3 linked regions of the Caenorhabditis elegans genome follow. The protein of the gene in region 1 purifies or fractionates together with the protein of each later gene. This does not show direct contact. Each region holds a gene or a part of one and is shown in the gene's direction. Other genes may lie near its edges.

The links.
Region 2: the proteins of ule-2 (region 1) and C15F1.1 fractionate together in Caenorhabditis elegans (co-fractionation; one large-scale study listed by BioGRID). This does not show direct contact.
Region 3: the proteins of ule-2 (region 1) and rskn-2 fractionate together in Caenorhabditis elegans (co-fractionation; one large-scale study listed by BioGRID). This does not show direct contact.

Annotation. Positions count from the first base shown.
Region 1 is NC_003282.8:14,631,212-14,637,548, forward strand, and holds ule-2 (Uterine Lumin Expressed/locailized), read left to right. Parts: upstream 1-3,914; 5' UTR 3,915-3,919; coding exon 3,920-4,039; intron 4,040-4,158; coding exon 4,159-4,623; 3' UTR 4,624-4,813; downstream 4,814-6,337. Other genes in the region: irld-4 (Receptor L-domain domain-containing protein), read left to right, coding at 1,914-1,916, 1,966-2,035, 2,092-2,240, 2,420-2,735, 3,043-3,158.
Region 2 is NC_003280.10:6,987,208-6,994,119, forward strand, and holds C15F1.1 (ShKT domain-containing protein), read left to right. Parts: upstream 1-2,672; 5' UTR 2,673-2,685; coding exon 2,686-2,749; intron 2,750-2,862; coding exon 2,863-2,997; intron 2,998-3,049; exon of another isoform or gene 3,050-3,154; intron 3,155-3,291; coding exon 3,292-3,374; intron 3,375-3,419; coding exon 3,420-3,517; intron 3,518-3,668; coding exon 3,669-3,716; intron 3,717-3,925; coding exon 3,926-4,139; intron 4,140-4,255; coding exon 4,256-4,375; 3' UTR 4,376-4,480; downstream 4,481-6,912. Other genes in the region: C15F1.2 (uncharacterized protein), read left to right, coding at 1-86, 136-288, 545-658, 712-890, 938-1,052, 1,117-1,239.
Region 3 is NC_003279.8:8,010,920-8,021,344, forward strand, and holds rskn-2 (Ribosomal protein S6 kinase), read left to right. Parts: upstream 1-3,490; 5' UTR 3,491-3,548; coding exon 3,549-3,713; intron 3,714-3,983; coding exon 3,984-4,381; intron 4,382-4,761; coding exon 4,762-4,908; intron 4,909-4,952; coding exon 4,953-5,259; intron 5,260-5,364; coding exon 5,365-5,537; intron 5,538-5,661; coding exon 5,662-5,893; intron 5,894-5,952; coding exon 5,953-6,042; intron 6,043-6,214; coding exon 6,215-6,336; intron 6,337-6,864; coding exon 6,865-6,973; intron 6,974-7,219; coding exon 7,220-7,499; intron 7,500-7,550; coding exon 7,551-7,698; intron 7,699-8,001; coding exon 8,002-8,152; 3' UTR 8,153-8,661; downstream 8,662-10,425. Other genes in the region: dod-18 (Nucleotide PPase), read right to left, coding at 8,776-8,911, 9,182-9,334, 9,378-9,481, 9,701-9,835, 9,883-9,948; C54G4.7 (AB hydrolase-1 domain-containing protein), read left to right, coding at 9,935-10,056, 10,125-10,212, 10,262-10,425. UniProt on the Caenorhabditis elegans protein: Serine/threonine kinase that may play a role in mediating the mitogen- and stress-induced effects on transcription. May repress transcription via phosphorylation of 'Ser-1' of histone H2A. May phosphorylate histone H3.

The DNA of each region.
Region 1 (6,337 bases):
ATTTGGTTTAAAAAACCGGATATGTTTCACAACTGGCATGAATATGCCATTTGATCAATCATATTGCTCAGTTGTTTTAATTTTGGATTGAAATTTTTTATTTAACCTGATAATGCAATTTTTCTCTTCAATGCAGCTGAAAAAAAATCTGTTAGCAATGGTAACCAATGGTAAGAATGATTTATCGATTTCAAAACAATGTGAAACAGAAATATTTTAGAGAATATTTGATCGAATTTGAAGGTATCCTAAGCCTACTGAGTGGTAGTTTTTTTGGGCAAGCGTTAATTAACAATGAGAAATAGTAGAATAAATTGCAAGTTGTTGAAAGTTGATATTTGGTTGAGCAAACTAACCAAAAAAAATTTAATTAGATTTTTCTCGGTGATTTGAAAAAGTATATAACTAATTAGGTTTTAAATCTAGGATGCTGGTTTCAGGATCAGTTAGTTTTTTTTCTTATTTAAAATTTAAAAACTCTTCTGTAAAATATTTTTGAATAGTAACCCAAACTATAGCATTTTCAAAGATATAAGATATAAGATGAAAAAGATACAAAAACTGTAGAAATTGTTTGACATAGTTTGAAGAAAAAAAAATTGTGCTATTTCACAACGTTTATATGAAACAGGTGTATTTTCTCATTGTCAATAACTTGCCTTGTTCGAATGAGTATCTTTAGAAATGAACGTTAACGCAGTAAATCTGTGTAAAATTTTGAGTTGTAAGCAAAACGTATGAATTATAGCTCGATTGAACCTTTAGATTATTTATTTTCCAGAACGTTTTTACCTACTGTAATTTTTTGTGGCGTTTTCAAAAAATGATTCTTTGGCTCCAAACCACGCTAAATTCTTCTGGACCGGAACAAAACTTTCTGCAATCTTCTTGGAGATAAAAACCAAAAACATTTTCCGTTAAAAAATTTATTAAAAACATCGTCACTTGTCAATTGAACTCTCATATTTTTCAGATTGTCACGTTTGCAAATTTCAATATTTCTATTGGGTGCAAAGTACGCAAAGATCAAAATCGAAAACTTTGCGTGCACGTTATGCAAACTTTTTGAGCAGTTCGGGAGAAAATTGGCGAAAGGGGAAGCCCATCTGAAAATCAAAGAATCAATTGTGTTGAAAAGAGCAAAGATTGTTCCGAGTAAAAATTAAATATACTCTTTTAAATTTGGATTGGAGAGGCCGAAATGTGTCGGTAAATATTAGGGAGAACAATATATTCGGGTGGTGCTGACGCGGCGAATGTAACGAAATTTTGCTAGGAATAGCAGTGATTGGGAAGTCTGACAAGCACCCGACATCTACCTAGTTTTCAAACCCGATAGATGTCGGCCGCTGCAACTATGAAACATTTGGTATTGTATTTTTCTAATTTGAAGTCAAAAAATGTTGACCGCACAGTTTATTTTAATGAACTTGTCATTTTCAAATAATAGAAAAAAAAACGTTTTTAGAAGAAAATAATGATTCAACATTTTTTAAAACTATTACATTATTCGAAAAAAAATGTCGAAGTGAAATATTAGGTTTAAACATGTTTTCAAATTACTGGGGTCATTTTGTTTTTGCTTTGTTTGATATTTCATTTAAGTGGTAAATCGAAATCTATTTAAATATTTAAATTAAAGTGAAACTGCATCAATCCCAATATTATGCTTTCAAATAAAATTTTGATAACAATATTCTGAAACACTTGGAATATTTTTTCGGGTGCAAATTGAACTTTTCTATGATAAAACTGTATAAATCTAAAATTATGATTTATCAATTTATTTTGATAACAAAGAAACAAACATTTTCCGTGAACTTTTTGATCGAACGTTTTTTGGCACATTTTCCACGACGTTTCAAATTCATACGCAATATATAATTTATTTCCTGGACAAATCAACAATCAGAATGGTGAGTACTTTTTTTTCTAGAAAATCGAACAATTGAAGGTATGTTTCAGTTTTGCATTCTAAATTTTCTACTGCTCCCTCTGGTTGTCTTGGCTCAAGTTGGAAGCTCTTGTGATACAGGTAACGCTTATTTAAAAAAAAATTTCCAATTAGATATTTAGATAACTGTATTTCAGATGGAATCCCGAACCAATTCCACTGCAACATTAAAAATTTGAAACGTGACGCTCAGAACTACCTCGAGTGGCCTAACTGGTGTCAAGTGTTTCATGGAAATTTGCATTTGAGAGTGATTAATTTGAAAGCTGCAAATTTTGAGAAATTGGTAAGGTGACATGTATGTTGGTTTCTGAAAATGCAGCGTCCGACATCTTCCGGGCGCAGGCACTCTGTACTTTTTATCAAATGATGAAATTTCTCGAATTCTGTTCTAAGTGTTATCTATCTGAGTAATGTTGAATTTCTAAAATAAAGAATCTGAAACCGCATTTTTATTTTTTGCAGCGTGAAATCCGTGGAACCCTTTCACTAATCAATTCTCCATTCAATCGAATGCCTCAAATGCCAAATCTTGTCAGTATTAAAACTCATAATTCATTCCCTGGACTCGTTATTCTCAACAATACAAGACTCCGTGATATGCGTGGATTTGTGGATTGGAATAAGGATGTCAAGATTACGGGAAATGAATTTCCAGTTTTTATTTCTGGAAATCTGGAATTGGATACTGTTAACCTGCCAGAAATGTTCCACAAACCATATTCTCCACTTTCGTGTGAAAAGAGATTGATGCCAAATTATAATATTCAATTTGCAGAAGGTGAGAATTGAGAAAAATATATAACAAGAAAAAATATTATGCGGTTTCACATAGTTTTCATAAGGACTCAGTATTTAGTTTACTATTAGTTGAGTAGTTAAAATGAGCATAAGTGTACGTTTGTTTTCATAATAATCCAAACTATGACTTATGATAATTATGAACATTTTCATATTTACTATTTTTTTTTACTGTTTCAAATACACTACTCGCATCTGCCGTTCTTCGTTTTAGTTGATTTCGAAGCACGACAACCCATCAATTTCATTTTGAGAGTCACATTTACCATATCTAAATCAATTTTCAGGAATGTCGCTTGCTGCCGTCCTATTCACATTGATCATCTGTGCTACAATGTTCCTTCATCCATTGAGTATGGGAAGTACTAACGTCTATTTTGTGCCTGGATATCATAAATATTGAAATTTGCAATTATTTGGATAAATTATTGATTGTGTGTGTAATTTTTTATATTTATGATGTAGTAGAAAGTGATTATGCTTTAAAAAAAGTTGACAACCGTTTCAAGTTGTATATAAGTTTTCATGTACAAAAATTAAACTCAATATTTTGATACGAGATGGAAACTAATTCAGTGCATTTAAAACCCTGATATCTGAGCGTTTGGCTTAAAAATTATCTAAACTTACAAAACAGTGATAGTACAATAAAAATAGATACAACACTAAAATATTTCAAATTGAGCATTTATCGAAATTTCTTGCCACGTAATACTCCGCGTTTTGGAGATTTCAGCTAAAGCTGAGAAGTTTTACAGGGGTTATCACAAAATTAGTTTATTTGGGCACATTTCTAATAGTAAGTCACAGTACTTTAGTGGGTAACGTAGTAATAAAATATGAATTTGCCTAGTACTACATTGTAAGAACGTTTAAATAATATTTAACTTAAGGCGATATTTTTCCAGAAACGTTAACTATATTTTTGGATGGAACAAGGAAAGAAACTGTAACTGGAAAAATTTTCCGGTGTTTTTTTAATTTAACACCGAAACAGTGAAAAAATTGTTCTGAATTAATACGTTTTCAATTGAAAAAAACTTTTCTTCGGGAAAATGAGTCAGATGTTATATTAAACTTTAAAATTGATACAAACAAAGAAGTACCGATTCAATTGTTTTTCAAAAATATATAAGACCGTTCTGAAACAGAAAAAAATAAATCATGATTTTCTACATTCTTTTCCTGTTACCTCTGGTCTCCGGGCAATGGGGTACCCCTCCACCAATTGTCACTAATGAGCAATGTCAAGTGGAATACAAATCGATAATGAATTGTGTTAGGGTAAGTCATTGATTCAGGAGCGCCCCACATTTAGCAGGCTCTGGCTAAGACTAGTCGCATAGCCAACCCGCATGATGTAGGGTGCTGCTAATTTATTTTCAATCGTATGCCCTTTTCAGAATCCACGTCTTTTCACAAGAATTGATGAAATTCCCCGTCCTGAGAAATCAGAAAATCTTGCACTAATCGAAGAAGTCACTCACGTCCTAGATTGTTCTGGATTCTTAAATTGCAATAGTTCAAGAATTTTGCAGTCATATTTGTTCAATCAACGTTGGATTCTAGACGTACTTCATGGAAAACTGGAGCCATGTCTTGGGAATGGAGTTTTACGCAAGATTTTTGATTCTTGTGATCCTGCTCCAAGTTACAAGAATTTCAAGAAATTCGATGATGATGATTGCAATAGGATTACTGTGTACCTACCTTGCTTTGTGAACGAACTGAAAAACCAGCCAACTTGCAAAATCAGTGATGTAAATCTATTCAAACGAATGATTTTTGCAATGAGATCCGGTTGTGTGATGGGCCATCAAATGAAAATTGAGTTCGACAACTATGGAATTATTGAAAATTCATTTTAACTTAAATCTTGTTACAATAAATGTGTGCTCAATGCCATGCAATATATTTGAATTATTTAAACCGAAATACTAATGTTTACAATTAACTTGTTCATATTTTCAATAAGTTCAGTTTCTAACTTTTGTAATGATGAAAATTATCATGAGATTAATAAAAGGCGGTTTCAAATTACATTCATTTGGAAACTATACATGGATTTTTAATAAATCATTGTCAAATAATTTACTGTTTCATGATGTTAAAAAGTAAACGCCAAATGTTTATTATTTGAATTGCTTTATTTTTTAACCTTTTAAACTTTTTAAAACTTTATTTAACTTTATTTATTTATTTATTTGTTTAAACTTTATTTTTTAATTTTTAAACGCACATATTTAGGAGGCGCATTGTTCATTTGCTGACGTTGAAAATTACAAAGAATAGTGAATTCAGCATTCTAATGAAAAATTCCAGTTTGTCGATATTAACAGAGTTAATGAAACATGATGGGAAAATTTAATATTTTTAAATTGTTTCAGCACTATACAAAATGTGTCCAGCTTAAAACCAGCAGTACAAATGGTTATAGGTATTCATTAAATATTCAAGCATAATATAAAACGTTCTATAGAAAATTTCGGCTTGCCGTCGACGCTGTATATTTATTTTGGCTGAATATTTAAATTTCGTAAAACAAATTCCTCTTAAAAACCAGTAACAGGTAAGATTTAGATTTATTGAATAAACATTTTCAATTCAATATTTTTTGTGGCCTATATTTTTAAATTTTGTGAATTTTTAAAAAGTATAAAAATTCTTAAACTGTAAATTTTTATGGCTTGTGCACAATTGTCACTTTTTTTTAAATTAATGATCACTTCGAGAGAGTTTCACAACTAATTTTTATTATGTATAATATAATGTTCTATATTAAAAAATAACGTTTAAAAAGAATATGGTGTTTCACACAGCACCCGACATCTCATGGGTTAACTCACACAGTTTAAAGTAGAAAACCCGCAAGTTTTCCGGTGCTGGGAGCAATCATCAAGTTGTATCAATTTGCTAAGCGTGAATTATTAATTTTCGTAATTTTTTTAATCGAAAAACGAAAAATTAGATTTTGATTTTAATTATCAAAAAAAAAAAATGTTCCGTTTTATTATGTACTTTTAACCATGTAAGTTGAAAATTTTTTAATCCTGGGATCATATAAAAAAAATGAAGGAAATTTGACATTGAACTTCGACAACACTTTCAGCTCCGATTCAACCCAAAATTGAGTCTAGATTTTTTAAAATATCACTGATAAATTTTCGATTTCCCAGTAGATTAAAAATGAAGTTATTTAATAAAAAATACAGAAAAATACGTTTAGAAAATATTTTTACTCATAGTTTTCTGACTTGAAGTAGACCCTCAAGATGTCTGCTGCTGTAAACAAAAGTGCTCATCTTTTGGTTAATCAAAAAAAAAATTTTTTTTTTAATTTTCCATGTTTTATAAAAATCATGTTTCACTATGTGTTTTTATTCACCAACATAAAAATAAACTGATCAACAGAATTATAAGTTTTTTTTTCTTATAAGTTTTATATATTTTTTATTCTAAAAATTGAACAGTTTGACAACACTTTTTGCTCTGTTCCAGCCAAACGCCCGGTCAAAATATTTGTCTCCCCCAGGTGTTCAACAACCTGTCAAACATTGCACAGACTATTATTCTATTTATGTA
Region 2 (6,912 bases), on another chromosome or scaffold:
TAAAGAACTTTATTTCTGAAGAATACAAAGTTGAAATTGATGCATTCAGGAGAGAACACAATCTATGGACTAAACAGAACAGTAATGTGAGTTTTTGTTGATAAGTGAGATACATATTATTCCAATAAATTGCAGACAACACTAATTAAAAGAAATGAAACAACATGTGATATGTACATGCGATGTCGTTCACAAATGCATTTGGCTGTTGATAGTTGTGCATGGAGATTTGCAAGTGATCAGTTACTGGCTACAATGGCTGAATCTGCTGAGAGCCTTTTGTATAAGGTAAGTTTCGATTCAAAATTGAATAGCTGTTCGGCAAAACGCCACAACTGCAAGGTAAATTCCAACAACTATAAAAATTAGTAAAACTTTGTAAAAAGCTCTTATTAGTGTTGCAAAACTTTGCCAAGGTCCTCTGAAAAGCTGTAGGAGTTTGTTAAATAGCTAAAATATTCAACTGTTTGTAAGCAATTGGCAGAGTGCGCTAAGAAGTTGGTCGGACTAGTTGGTTGTAATTCTAATTGATTAATTCTTCCAGGACGACGGAGTGTGCTCACAAAAAGATGGAGACAAAGTAATTGAGCTTTACGAGTATATGATTAAAAGAAATGATAAGCTCAGAATCTGTTTAGATAATAAGAACGAAAAATATGTAAGTTACACATATTCTGTATGAATCTCACTACAATTAACATTATTTTTCAGTTTGAAGATTCAGTTTGTCTTGCTTATCCTGAACACAAACGCCATGAATATGATGATTCTCTCCGGCGACTTTTGAATACATCGTTTGAATATTCAAAATCTAGAGAATGTTTCCATGATGCTAATTTGATTCAAGAGAAGTGTACACATCTCAGAGATTGTTGTCCGAACTTTGATGAGTATGATTTTTTGAGTTTCTGATTCTCTTTTAAAACTGAATTTTCAGATGCCGTGAAGAAACTTTCGAGGTTGAAGTGGAAAGAACAATTATCAGCTTGACAGCTACAATAAATGAGATCAAACAAGAATGTGTTAAGAGAAAAGCCAAAGAAGCTGTTAAGGTATCTTTTTTCTATATATTTTCGTTTGTTTTGTTATCGGTGAACTAACTCTCTTATTTTTCAGAATGTTGTTCGACAACTCCTTCTAAATACAGATGCTGGTCAAAAACTTCAAGAAATTGCGCAACTTGGTTTAGACATTTCTCGGGGAGCCCGAGTTGTTCGAATGGCCAAATACAGAGCATAATCTATAAAATAATCAAATAATACTGTTTTACATTCCAATTAACTTTGCCGGTTATCTCACTGGTGCCAATTTTGTTTATTGACTTTCCGGTTTCGCTTTAATCATTTCATTCATATTTTCACGAGTAATTTAATAATTAATAACTTATTAATTTTTAAAAAACAAATGAAATATTTTTTTAAGGTTTCGACTTATGAGTGGGAAAAGTTTCAGGAATCGATAGCATATTATTTACAATTTTCTAATATCACATTGTTTCTTTTCACTTCCACCAAATGATAATTCCAGTACAGAAAAGAAGATGAACAGTAAATCGTGTTCTATTCTCCAAATGGTCACTTCCATTTCTCTCTTTCTACAGTTGATACATTGCATTCCACACTTGTAACTGAAATGACATGCTAAATGCCAAAGAAAAGATGAATGGAAATGCCAAATGAACGTTCCCCTCACACGCCTTCTTTCTTCACTACTTTTTCTTTTCTTTTTCAACCATTTTGTGACGAAGAACTGTTTTCGAAAAGAAGTATTAATTCCTCAATTTACTTCGGTAATGAACTTATTAGTAACACGATAAGTTTTGGTTTTCAGGACAGTATGCTTAAATATCTTTTCTCGTTTTTTCTCGGGGCAAGAAATTTGAAGAAATATCAAACACATATAAGTTAATATGGGTTAGTTGAGCACTGAAGATTATTTTCATATTGCTGATGTATCTTCCAAAGTCCTTTCAAACCACTTTCAAAATATTTTTTTAATTTAATTTATTTTTTCATATCTTTTCACCACAAAAAATGGAGAGCATTGAAACTTTTCAGAAATAACTAATGAATTAAAAACTTATAATAAACATTATAATGTTGATTTTTAACCTCTCTCGTGAGAATAGTTTCATGAAAAACTATTTCATTTGGAACGGAAATGTTTTACATTTTTGTATTCCAGAAATATTAATTGTTTTTATTGTTCCATTAATCAAATCACCAATGTTCAAAATATTTTGAATATCCAATTACTTATCGTTCATCTCACAATTTTCACCGGTCTGCACCCTAACTCGAACAAGTTTAATTTAAAATGGAAAAAAAAGAAAGAAACGCAGAGAAAACAATGTTCAATTAGCACTGGAAAAGATCGTTTTCGGTTCTCGGCACGACGCTCGTTGATTGACGATGTTGAGGTGATAAGTGATAAAAAAGAGAAAAAAGAAGGCTTTTCCTCTTTGTATTCTTCTTGTTTCTCATTCACTCACTCACCTTCTCCCTCCTTTTACATTCGATTTTTTCTGCCAACCTTGATTAAAAATCTATCCCTTTCACTAGTTATCTATCATATCAACCATTTCTAGTAGTTCCTTCTTTACTTTTTCCCGTCATTCTACCAATTACCCTTTCGTTTACTTTTTCCATTTCTTTTCATAAAATCATTTTCAGACTTTTCAGAGAAATGTCAATACATCAGACGTCATTTCTATTGTTCACACTTTTCAGTTTATTATCATTTTCAATAGGTTTGTTTCGTTCAATCAAAACACAATAAAATGCCATAAAAACAGGTTCCCAGACCCATATTCAGTTTACACTAAACATAACAATACCCTTTTCACGTATATCTTTTTTTCAGCAGCCGACACATGCCGGGACTTTGATAATAATTGTAGAGATTGGATTACTGTCAATCCAAATGCATGTGATTCAACTGAATATATTAAAAGAAGTTGTCTCAAGAGTTGTGGACAATGTGGAGAGGTTGATCCCAGTAGGTTGTTTCTTTATTTAAAAATTAAAAACTTCAGCTATTACACTTTATTAAAACACTAATGATAGTTTTAAAAAAGTGGAATTCTACATAAAAAATTTTCAAGAAATGACGGAAGAATTTTCACATTAGAAATTCAATAAAATTGAGCAAACAATCTGGAAAAATATTTGAAAGGGTAGTATTTAACATAATATTAGACTTCAAAATAGTAATAAACATTTAAACTATTATATTTTTAAATTTGCAATTTCTTGTGGTTCTAAAACTTCTAAAAACATACTATTATTTCAGAATACGATTTACGTCGTCTTTCTCAGGAACTCACACCAATTGGTTTCCTAGTAGGGAAATGGAGATCTGAACATGGAGGAAAAGTTCGTTTTTGAAACTGTCCAGATTCTTAAATTTAATAAATCTAGGCAATCTTCCCAACAATTCCGAAATTCACATTTGGAGAAGAAATCGAAATTTCAATTCCAGGCGATGCAATGCAATCGGCTCAAGCTCTTAACTACACGTAAGAAAATAACTGAAATTATGCCATGCCTGCATGCCGCCTATTATTTGGTGGTTGTACGAGGCAGGTAGGCATGTTAACGTTCACGTGAAAGGTTTATTGGAAATATTGCCGTTTAGATGTTTCAGATTCAGAAAATATTTAAATTTAGAGCGTTCGCATGGAGTGTAGAAAAAAGAGATGAGAAGAATCCAAACAGGTTTTCATATGTCATTTTTTGTTTTTATTTATTTTCCAAAAAAACCTATTTTTTTGTTTCGAACTGTTGAGTGTTTTGTCTTGGGATTTTATTTTTGATTCTGTCAATTCTGGTGGCTCTTCTATTTTTTTCGGAAAAGTGTACTTGTAAAAGGGAATTGGTGACAATAGAAATCTCAATACTATCTTCAAAATGCTCCGAATTTTCAGAGCATTTGCCTGGTCGATAAATGATAAAGATGAGTTGCACAGTGAATATGGATATATTTCTGTGAAACCAAACACAAAAGAAGTCGCACTGACAACTGTAATGAATAATGGTTTTGTGACAGTCGAAGAAGGTCCAGTCAATGGAAATCAAATTAGATTCCGGCTTAAGGATATCGGAAGAATTAGTTTCAGCAGAGATTTGCCTGTTCATGATGTAAGTTTTTAGAATAGTGTTTTTGTGTGTAGTCATAACAATGAAAACCAACAACAAAATTCAAAAACGCTCTAATTTCACATAATTCAATCAAACTCAAAATTTAAAATATTCAGCTCGTCCGAGAATGGACTCTTCTGGATCGATCAACACTTCAAGCCCGTCTGAACATGGAGACATTAACACATGGAATGCAGGAGCACACATTTATTCGTTACAACAAAATTGAGCCATAAACTGAAGAAAAACGTGTTTATCTCTTTCTATTCCACTTCTAGTCAACTACTTCCCACTCAATTGATTCCCCCTTTCCCCTTAAAAATAAAAACTCTTGCTGCTTTTTATGAGTTTTCCTAAAAGCTGCTAAATATGTATATAGCACCATCTCAAGAGTCACTGTATAATAGAATAGTGAAAATAAATGAGCTGTGAAATGAGCCAAAATGAAAAAGAAAAAGAAAGCAAATGAAGTGAGAAAATGGATGCAAGAATTGACACTTTTATTGGCAATTCATGAGGATTCTAACGATGAGTGAAGATGAAAGAGTAGACTAGCGGAGAATAAGGTTTTAGAAGAAATTTCGATGGGAGTTGATGACATTTGTGATTTTTAAACTTAAATTTTAACTTATCGCTTAGTGATCTTTAATCATAACCGACTTTAGCAAGTTCATGAAAAAAGAAACTTTCGATCGGCATTCGATCATAATTTTTAGACATATTATAGAGCATTCTCGTGTCTCCCCATAGTTGTAAATATGCAACCAGATGTCCGTTGGTGCAATTTAGTTGCTCATCAAGTTCTCTATGTCCATTTCTATTCTGTTCAACCACTTCATTTCCCCTTTTGACATTTTTCTATCTGTGAGAGCTTCATCTCCCATCGTTTCCTCTTAACGTCTTCAGAAAGACAAATCGTTGCCAAATTCATCATTTTCGAGTGCCAGGCATCCAATAACCGAAAGAATGGGAGCAAAGAGTGCTTTTCAACGGAAATTAGAACCATTTTTCTGAAAGAAGTCTGCGCGAGATAAGCAAAGTTTTAAATTTTCATGAAAACCACAAGCGCGTATTTTGAGTTTTTCACAACTTTAGAAAAATTCAAAAAACGGATGCCAACGTTACAGGAAAATGCCGAAAATTCGAGAAACAATAATTTCCATGAACATTTAAAAATAATTTTTTCACGACCCATTTGTAATAGTGAATTAGTAAGGGTATTTAATCTGATACATTTCCAAAAAATAATGCAATGTTTGCCGAAAACTTGACGATTTGCCGTTCGCCTGAAAATACTGTATGATGACTGAAAAATTTCCCGTTTGCGAAATCTGTGATTCCTATAAAATTAGACTTCTAAATAAATTGGCATTTAAAATCATGATTAGAAGAAAACTAAACCACAAAGAATATGAAAACACACTTCTATAATTAATTTTTACAATTAGATATATGATTTCATAAAGCTGCAGTGCTGTTATTTTGATCTCAATCTATTTACAAAAATAACACTGAAAAGTACTTTATGCCTTGCAAGAAATGCTCAATTTCTGTGTATTCTACGCTTAAGCACCTTCTATTCAGCACCTACTCGGGAATTCTCCACCAAATCCATTCTCATTTTCTTCTTTTCTCTCTCAACTCGTCTTCAATCTCTTCACCTCGTCCACTATTTCATCCCCGGAGACTTGTTCCCCAGACGTCGTGCCTCCAATCGATCCATTTGTGGAGCCCGCGTCGTCCACAGAGCTTCTGCCGTTTCATCTCTGCGTCTCGTTCACCCATTAGACGTTGTGCTTCCTCCCTGCCTGAAAATAGCCCCACACAACATAGACTTGCTCTTCTTTCTTCTACTTTTTTTCTCATTCTTTTTTCTCCAGATACGCCTTTATTCAAATGACGTGTTTCTTTTTTTTGTCTGTTCAAAAACCAACAACTCATGATCATCAGATGATGATGGTCAAAAATCCCTTCCGGTTTTCCTTTTCTTCCCAAATTTTGGCTTGGACTTTTTTTGAATTATGACACCAAAACATGCAACGACGTATATATATGCAAACGTAGAATATCGAGTTTCAGAACCGAATCATTGTCGAGATTAAAAGGGAGGAAATTGATATGTGATGGAAATAGATTGAGGGCTGAATTTTTGAGATTGAAAAAACAATTGTATAATGTAAGTAGATAAAACAAAGCTGTATTGAATTTATAAATATCTAATACATTTTCTAATACAAAAATAAATTTGATTTTGTACTTTTCTTAAAAAGTGATCAGAATTTCCACTAGATGTTTTTGGCAACAATCACCTGATAATTGGATTAAAATTTGACAAAACTGTTTAAGTACAAGCGAACTAGATGAGAATTTCTACCTTTTTCTTTCAATTGAATATTTTCGTATTCTATCCCTCCGTGCTTTCATTTTCCATTGACGTTTTATGGTTCAATATATATCCTAAAAGTTTTCCTTACCCTTTCTCCTACTAGTTTCATCTCTTCTTCTAAATAATTAACATTTCTTTATTTAATTGATTTCTTTCCATTTCACGTCATTTCTTCATTTAGCACAACATTCTTCTTTTATTCCCATCCAATCGCCTTCTCCGTTCATTCCGGCCCCTTTTTCAGCTTCAAATTGAACAACAAAAACACATTGCGTGACGATAAAACTTCCAGTTCCCGTCTTCAAAACGTCATTCCGAGAGACTATTCGCCTGGAACCCTCGCCTTTTTTTCATTATGTGCTCATCCCTAAAAGAGCCAAGAGCTCT
Region 3 (10,425 bases), on another chromosome or scaffold:
TAACGTGAAATTAAAATTAAATAATGCGGTTCAAGAATCTAAAAAAAAACACGAACGTATTAACTGACTTAGGATTGAGATCATCCTCGGTTTTGTTAATTTCATTTGCTCCGATTTTCATGAGATTTGTTGCATGACGTATTCATGCAGCTATTTTCTTGTTTTTCCCTTCAAACTGCTAATTTTTTTTTAAATTCAATCAGAAATTTTTGCAATAGGTTCGCTATTTTTGAATCGGAATTTTTGTCCCTTTTCAAAATTAATTGTGTATTTTTCTTTTTCTTTTTTTTTGATAGATACAAATTTTCAAATAGTAGTTTTCTAGTTTGCGGGCATATATTTTCCAAAATCAGAAGCTTGTAGGAACTTGTATGATTCATGATTTGTTGTGACCTTGGTCTATAATTCATGAATAATATTATTATTATTTTGTTCTTGTTCTGCCATAATAATCACATTTCCCAAACACTTGATTTTTCAAAATCCTTTTTTGTGCTCAATCGTAATTACTGATCCTGCTTTTTCACTCATTTCTCTAATCTTTATATTTCATTTCTCCAAAAAATGTGTCTGAGTCTCTACTATAAACCATTAATCTCTCACTATTCTTTTTCTTTTCGTTTCTCTCTTCAATGCCATTGAAGCGGGGAAAAACCGACGACGACACACACCACACACACACAAACAACACATTGCATAGGCTATATCAAAAAATTATTAAAAATGTTCTTTTTTTTTTGATTCTTATAAAATATTTGTGATTCTTTCCCATGTAAAATTCCGTTTGAACTTAATTAGTGTTATCTAAAATGGTCTCTGATCTTTGATAGTGTCTCTTCAAAAAGAGGGTTGTACGGCAAATGTTCTCTTTTCGATATGGTTGTTTTAGATAAAAAATTAATATAATGTAGAATAATATTTAGTCAATTTGAACACAATTCTTGTTTTGATTGAATTTTTTTAAAAGTATCTAAAGACTGAAAGTTAGTCACTGCTGAAAAAATGGGTCAAAGTTTTGGCAAGTTTCGGTAGTTGGGCTCTATTTCAAACAAAATTTAGGATTATTTCCAGAGAGTTTTCGAATTTTTCAAATTGCTTTTGCTTTCATAAGTTTGCTTATTGCAGAGAAATCAGCAATTTTGTAGATTTTCCGCACACCCTAAATATCAGGTTCGACAAATTTTAAATGTTCTATTTTCAGCAACACGTTTGGATCAATTCTTCATCTCTCATTTGAACAAAAAATTTATTTTTCATCCTAAAATCTAATTTCAACAAAATAACTATCGTTTTTTTCCTTCCAGATGAATTACTAATTTCACTCTAGTTTTTGCAGAATTTTTGCACTTTCAGTTAATTCATTCATATTAAATTGATCTCTATAATTGCAAATGTCATTTTCTAATCATAATCCCATTAATTTCTGAAACTTGATTACGTAGAATGCATAAACTTTAAGTTGGCAGTCCAAATACACATGCAAATGTAAATTCGACCCTTTCTCGCCCATCTGCATTTTTCATTTGAGGTCATTTTACTTTTGTGACCAACTTTGTGTTCTCTGTGGTCTTTTACTCTTTTTTCGTGATGATAATTATAGTTATAGCAAAAAAAACAATTATTGTGACAAGCTGTGTCCAACGTTTTTCATAAATGTTCCTATAACTTTTGCTCCTGGGGTTCGGAAAGTAATCAAATATTTTTAAATATGATTTGTGTGTGAACTCTAGAAAACTTTTAAATTATGCTGTCAGATGCAGAATTTTCATTGACTAGCAAAAACACAAGTCGAATGCAAACTTGATTTTAACTCTAAAAAATAGTATGAAGAATTTTTTCTATTCACTTTTCCATCGTGGGTGCAAAACGGCAAAACAACCAAGATGTGGGCGGAACCATTACACCCTTTTAAAAAATAAAACTAATTTTGGTGAATATTTTAAAATAGATTCGAAAATATTTTGAAAAATACAAAACATTAAAAGATAAATGTATTACTTTTCTGAAAAAATTCCGATGAAAACAACTAATGAACTTGTTTTCATTTTGAGCTTTTCAGTTTCAAGTATTAAGATTTGAAATTCCTAGTTTTAATTTCTGGCCAGTGAACTTTTCTTTCATATTTCGTTTGATGTTTAGTGTATCACTGGTTTTTTTGCAAAATGTTTATTTCTAATTGATTTGAGTTTCTTTAAAAGCAGAAGTGATTAATTTAGGTTATTTTAAAAGCTTCAAGATATTTATTCTTAATATTTATCGCTAGAAACTAAATTTATACAGGCCCCATCATTCCTCTCGTTAATATTTTGTTGATTAGCTTGGTTAGTTTTCTCTTCGTTAGACGAATTCCCCAAATCTAGGTACCTAGAAGCAGTAGAAGTGTTGTTTTGATATTTCCTGTTTATATCTTCCATTTCTCTTACTTCTCACTCTTCTCATTCCTCTAACTTCTGCTTGTTGTGTTCTTGTGTTCCATTTGATTCTGCTCTTGCTCACCGGAGCCACGGCAGCAAATGCAACAAAAGAAAGGAAGAAAAAACGAAGCACACACGCAAAACACATGGCATATTTTCACTTTTGCATCGTTGTCTCTTTCTCTTTCCTTCTTCATCTTCCTTCTTCTTGCTTATGGCTCATGACACCACACCACTTGTGCTCTCTTGGCAGGAAAGCCTGAGCTCACAACTTCTTCAAGTTTTCAGAATATTGTTGGATGGAGAGAAAAGGGAAAGGGGATTTCTGAAAATGATCGGAGGTGAATAGAGTTGGTCAACAAATCTTTCTTTCTCTAGAAGACTTTTCATTTTGTTTTTTATTCTGTTTGCTATGTTGTCCTCTTTTTTGTGCTGTGCTTCTTCTTTTTCTTCCTCTCCTTCTTGTTCTCAACCTTCCAAGCGGTAATGGATTTCTCGTTTTCATTTCCTTTTCTGCAAGATTCATGTGATAATTTCTGTTTTTCCATGTCTCTTTTTTTCGCAGTCTTCATTCCAAATTTTGTATAATCTTCTGATTTCTTTTATTAAAGCCTAAGATCTCAAAACTTAAAACTCAAGATCTTCCTAATGACTTTGTCTTGTGAAATTCTATTATTTGTCATCATTCTCTTGATACTCAGTTATTAGAACTCTTATAGTTAGCCAATTTGTGAGTCATCCTCTAAACATGAATAAATTTGAAAATATTGTCATAATTTCGAAGTTTTCATGGATTTATTTAGATTAATCTTTTAAAGATTGAAAATATTTTGACAAGCTCCTTTAAGTTCGAATTTCAGAAGAATGCAAAATTACTTTTTTTTTGGAAAATTAAACAACTACTAGATTTAGTTTTGAAAACTAATATGTAAATTATTAGATCTGCAAAAATTGAGTTTGTTTTTTCAATATTTTGTTTTCACTCTATTCTCTTCTGCTCAGTCGATTTCACTTATAACCTTGTTATGCCTACGTGCATATTTGCAAAACCTCATTTCGTGCAATTTTTATTTTTCAGGTGATTAAACCCGAAGAACACAAAAAATAGGCAGAAGGCATACATATATAGAAAAAATGGAAGATATATTGATGCCTGAAGGAGAGAAAGTTTCCATGGAGAACTTTGCTCTCCTCAGAGTTCTTGGAAAAGGAGCATATGGAAAAGTATTCCTTGTGCGAAAAGTTGGTGGAAAGGATCATAATACTATATATGCTATGAAAGTGTTGAGAAAGACCAGAGTGAGTTATTTTTGGAAAAGAAATGAATTTAAAAATAATAATTTCTCATTTATACGGTGCTGAACCTTTGTATTATTATTTGTTTTTTCATCTCTCGCCAAGAGCGAAAAAACCGACAATTGCCGGAATTCATATTCTTGAAATGGTTTTGAACTTTTCGAAACAAATAACTGGATTGAAAAATTTTTGAGAGATGGGAAAGTGAGGTGAAATAAAGTTTATAGATTAGTATTTTAATATGAAACGAAAAAAAAACAAATTTGATTGCAGGTGCTCACAAAACAAAAAACCCTGGAGCACACAATGGCAGAGCGTCAAGTACTTGAACGTCTACGTGGAACACCATTTCTTGTCAATTTGTTCTATGCTTTCCAAACTGATACCAAATTGCACATTGTAATGGAATATGTGAGAGGAGGAGAATTATTCACACATCTTTGCTCGAGAGGTCATTTTGATTTAGAAGCTGCTAGATTTGTAATTGCTGAACTTGTGGTTGCAATTGATAGTCTTCATCAAAGAAAAGTTATTTATCGAGATTTGAAGCTTGAGAATATTTTATTGGACGAAGAAGGACACGTTAAGTTGACAGATTTTGGATTAAGTAAATTGTTTCTACCCGGAGAGTTGGATAGAGCCAATTCATATTGTGGAACTATTGAATATATGTGAGTTTTGAAATTTCCAGCCAAAGTTTAGGCACACTGCCAAACGTATTTGGAATTAAAAAAAAAAAGAACTTATCAAACCTCAGAATTATTTGCATGTCAATAATTTAAACATGATTAGAATATACAATTCGTAGTTTTTGATGTAGTTCCAAAATTAGGATTAACAAAAACTGGGTAATTGCTACTTTTTGGTTGTATATTAAAAGGTATCATTTTTTGTTGAAAATTATTGATCATTGATATTTGATTATTGAGCTATTGAATTTTTTCATTGAGATTTTCATATAATTCTTTACAAACGAAAATTGGCACAGACGGCTGTGTAAAAGTAATTTCTGAATAGATAAGAAATAAATTCTCAAGTTTAATGATTCCAGGTCGCCAGAAGTAATCAATCGCCCTGAAGGAGGATACAGTGATGTTGTCGATTGGTGGTCTTTGGGTGTAATTTCATTTGAATTGCTCACTGGATGCTCACCATTTACTGTAGATGGAGCACAAAACTCTAGTAAAGATATTGCCAAGTAAATCATTTCCTCATTTTCTTTATAATTTCTTCGAGTTTTAGACGAATTATGACAAAGAAGGTCCCTTTCCCAAAAACTATGGATGTTGATGCTCGCGATTTCATCGGCCAATTGTTGGAAAAGAAACTTGAAAAACGTCTCGGATACAATGGAGTTGATGAAATTAAAAATCATAAATTTATGTCAAGTATTGACTGGGATGCAGCTGTTAAGCGTACATTGAAGCCAGTGATTGTTCCAAGAATTGGACATGATTTGGATACACAGTTCTTCTCAGCTGAATTCACTTCTCAGCCACCATTATATTCTCCTGCAGAGTCACCATTAAATGCTAATACTCTGTTTAGAGTGAGTTTTTTCTTAACTTGGCAGGCACCGATTGCCGGATTTTGAGCCGAATTCCGAAATATGTTTGACAAAAATAAATTTCCAGAAGAAATTATGTGATTACAGGGATACTCATATGTCTCCCCATCTGTTATATTTGCCAATGACAATGTTATCGGTGAAGAACTAATGGCTGAAGATGTCAATGCACTTCTCGCGAGTTCTTCATTTTTTGCCAAGTACAAACTAGACAAGTCGGACGCTGGTCTTTTAGGAAAAGGAGCTTTTTCGGTGGTCAGGTAAATTTTTATATTTTCATCAACATTTCATGTGCTGGAACTATTTTCTAGATTCGAAAATCTCGAAAAAGTTCAACAAAACGTTATTTTTACATAGTTTTAAAGATAAAATATACAAATTCAGACGATGCGAACGCGTAGTTGACGGAGCCCAGTTTGCAGTCAAAATCGTATCACAAAAGTTCGCAAGTCAGGCTCAACGTGAAGCACGAATTCTTGAAATGGTTCAAGGACATCCGAATATTGTTCAACTTCATGATGTACATTCGGATCCTCTTCATTTTTATCTCGTCATGGAGATTCTGACTGGAAATGAGCTGCTCGAGAGAATTCGAAAATTGGAACGATTTACAGAGGTTAGAATTCTTTTAAGCATTTCTTTAATTCGGAGTTACTCTGAAAATTAAATTTTTAGAGTGAAGCAGCAGACATCATGCGGCAGTTGGTATCAGCTGTGAAATATCTTCATGATAAAAGAATTGTTCATCGAGATTTGAAACCAGAGGTGAGTTTCAATGATCAGATTATGTTAAGTGGCTGCAAAATAATACAAAACATAAGAATAAAATACTTCCAAAAAGTGAAACAAATTAATAATTAAAGGTGGAGTATACTCGAGTAGTTAGAAAATTATGACGCAATTTTTAAAAAAACGGGCACAGTTATTCTTATTCCAGAATATTCTATTTGAAAGTATCGATTCAAGTGCCCGCCTTCGTCTAGTCGATTTTGGATTTGCACGTCTACTTCCAAATTCAATGGAACAACAACTGAAGTCTGTTCAAGTTCTGCGCAAGATGTACGGTCTCATCGCACACAATCATTCACTCCACTCGGAGTAACATTTAGTCTAGTCAAAAGTTATTGTGTTTTGTCTTTTTTCACTCATTATTGGGCATATTTTTGTTTTTTTTTCTTAACTGGGAGCATGTGTCTCAAGCTGAAAATTTAAAAGAACAAATGTTCGAAAAAAGTTACTTTTGGTAGAGAGGAAGACGGTGGTGTGTGATGTTTCGTGCATTCTTGTTACAGATTATCTTCTTTTTCTATCCTTTTAAACCTTTCTTTTCACTTATCTCTACTAAGGGTTTCTTTCTTGATTTCAGAGATTTTTGAAGAAACACACTCATTCTCTGACTCTCACTTGATTTTCAAGACAAAGCTGTTTACTAACAATTCACAAACACTCACATTAAGTTTCTCAAATTTTCTGTAAACTTGAGAGTTAGAGAATGCCCAATTCATCTTTGAATAACGTTTGTTTTCACTAATAGCTTCTATATATTTGCCTAACTCTCACTATGAAATTCTTCAATCATAATTACAGGACCCCCTGCTTCACACTACAGTATGCTGCTCCAGAAGTTTTAGATGTTGGAGATTCTCAACCAGAATACAACGAACAATGTGATTTATGGTCACTTGGAGTTGTACTGGTTAGTTGTATAATTTTGTAATAATTTAATGTTTCAAAAATCGAAGTAAAAATTTTGAGAAAAAACAAAAAGACCCCTCAAATTTAAGAAACGATTGATAATCGATAAAAATCACGAAATGGAAGCATGCAACTACAGTACCACATCGTGAAAAATTTTTTGGACGCATTGAGAACCCTGGTTATTAGAAATTCATAAGAAATATTTTAAATTGTGTGGCACATTTTCTACGAATAAATTTTTCAGTTCACAATGCTATCGGGTCAAGTTCCATTCCATGCACGTTCTCGTCAAGAATCGGCAACTGAAATAATGCAGAGAATTTGTAGAGCAGAATTCTCATTCACAGGAGACGCATGGACAAACGTGTCAGCAGATGCTAAGAATTTAATAACCGGTCTTCTTACTGTGGATCCAAAGAAACGTCTTTCAATGCAAGAGCTTACAGCTCATATGTGGCTCAAGTCTTCGGCTTCAATGGATACACCACTTCAAACTCCTAGTATTCTGCCATCATCAGCAGGTAGTTAAACTGATGTTATTGAAAATTGAATAACCTAATCTTTTGACTTTTCAGATGAAACATTCAATGAGACACTGCGCGCATTCCTCCACGCTAATCGTGATGGATTCCATCTTCTCGATGTTGCTGCTGCTCCTCTCATGAAACGACGCGGAATCAAAAGACAATCTGGGGACAAGGATGCTTCTGGAAACTCGAAAAAGTGAGTTCAAGAACCCTAATATTTGAAACTCCTCCAATTTGGGGTACGGTTTCAAAGTGCACAAGAAACACCACATTTGACGACATTTCTCTAAAATTTTATTTTTTAGTTTTTAAGTTTGCAAATAATTGTAAATTCCTTATTTTATACTATTTAGAACGTCTATTCAAATATTATATTTATGAAATTATTAATAATAATTATTTTCTAAAAAAATATGATACTTCTAATTTTGATCGCATTGTGAACATTTTCGTTTCTGAAAATATACTTTCATTTTCAACAATTTATGTCATTTTCCAGTTCGCGAGTTACCCAATTCGAGTGTCTTCCGGAAGAACAAGAAGCAGAGATGACATCATCAACATCCCGTCCAAGCAATTTGGGAATGATGAACTATCGAGAACCAAATTCTGGAACAATCCGAGAAACTCGTGGCTCAGACTCCTCCTAGACCTTTTTCTTTGTTTCTTTTAATTTTTCTTCCTTTCTGTTCCTGTTTCTCTCACTGTTTGCGTTGTGATTCTTTCGTCCTAGATGCTTTCTAGTCTGTACTCTCTCATTATTCTCACTATTTTACAAATTTTCCGTCACCTGACACTTGTGGCATTGCCTTCTCTATGAGTACAGTTGCTGAAATGTTCATTGAACCTGTAGTGATTGTCATTTGTTAGATATTTCGCATTTCTAGTCAATCCTCTACCAATTTTGAAAAATATTGTGATTCGTGCATTTCATTTTATGTTATTATATCTAGTCTCATGTAAATTTCTAATTTTTTATAATCATTTTGTTAGATACACATATCTTTATTCATCCACCTATCCCCATGTAATCTTTTCATTGTCTCCAGTGACTCCCTGAACTCTTGAACCATTTCCAGAAATTCTTCCATGTTTTGCGATGAGCATGATTGACTTGCCAATCGACTTTTTGAAAGATTAATAAAATTAAGTAATTCGTTTTACATATTTATTTTGGAGAAGGTTTGAAAGCTCCGAATCATAATATCGATTGAAGCATCAACGTGAAAACCTGATGTAATGTGAGAAAATAAAATATGGAAGTGAAAGCATTTTAGAGAATATTTTTAGCGATAAGAGCTTGGTGAAGACGGTGAAGTGGCAAACCAACCACATTCGGCATACATCCTTCGATTCCACGAACGAAGACAGCGCCAAAGTCACCGATTCCATATGAACCTGCTTTTTTCCTGAAATTTCGATTTACTAGGTCAGTTATTCGTGTTTTTTTATTGGAGTTTTCAAATGTCGTGATGAAAATGATGAAAAACGTGATGAAAATTTTAAAAATCCCTCAAGTTTTGCAGCTCTTTCAAATACTCATAAAATGTTCAAAATTTCTTGACCGCCAATTTTTCTTTCATTTTTATGACTTTAGATAAGAAATTCAATTCCAAAAATTTTGATAACTTTCAATCAATAAATATTTCCATAACTTTTTTTTGCTAAAAAAAACTAACAATGGCTCTCCGCTTTTTACATATTCGTCGATAACTCTATCAGGAATATCTCCAAAATGAACAATTGTTTTCTCGATGATCTCTTCATATTGATCAGTTTCATGATAGTGTAGAGCCATTCCAGTATATACATTATGAGTATTGTTACGAAGTCTGAAATTAATTTATACAATTATGATGTTGAAAATTTAATTACCTTTTCAAAGTTTCTTTAGCGTCATTGGCATCTGTTGGTTTTCCAATAATTTCTCCATTGAATTCGATTACTGTATCACACGCAATAATAACAGAGTACGGCTCCTTAATAATTCATATATTAATATAATATCTCAGTTTTTATAATTTCAATTTTAGATTTTAAAAATATGGTAGCAGGTCTCGATATGCTGCAGCACTCTGAAATTTTGCGCAAAAAGTTTTAGGTCGCGTCGAGAAATGTTGCCGTATTTTTTTTGTTGAATTCCGATTTGTTTTTCAACTAATAACTATATTCTCAAGTTACTGAAAAAATAACTATACCTCTTTTCTTTTCATTTCTTCCACAATAGTCGTCAATTTTCCTTTAGCTGTTTCAATGACAAACTGCTTAACTGGCAATGTTTTTGGTAGATTTTCCTCGAAATTTGAAACTTTTACGATTACATTTTCCAATCCCTGAAACCGAAATAAATCTTTCTTTTTGTAGATTCTCATTTTCTCACAATTTGCTGCAACAATTTGAGTCGATTTGGTGACTGACTTGCCAATACAATAATGGCTTCTTTCATTCCGAACTTGCCGTCGTGGGCGAAACACGTGGATCTGAAATTTCGATCGGCTCTTGTGCTCAGTCAATTATTCACAAAAAGTTGGGGACATCCGGATGTAATTAAACAGTACGTTTTGTTTTAATTGAGAAATTGAGAAACTAATAGATAATTAATTATTGTTATTATTATTTTAGAATGGCAAAATATCGCAGAGATGTCATGTCAAAGAGGCTTGTGATGGATTATGTGAAAGAACTTAATCCCAAAATCGACATTGTGAAGGTAAATTTTAATTTCTCAAAAACATTTTTCAATAATAAATAATTCTCAGAAATATTCAAAAAATGGCGTAACTTCATACGAGGGATTTTTCGCAAGTCCTCATGCCACTCTCTTTCCCAATCATATGCCAGGAAACGTCGGTCGAGCACATTTCAGAGCATATCTTCCTCAGAAACCAGGCCCCGTATGCATACATTTGGCAGGCACCGGAGA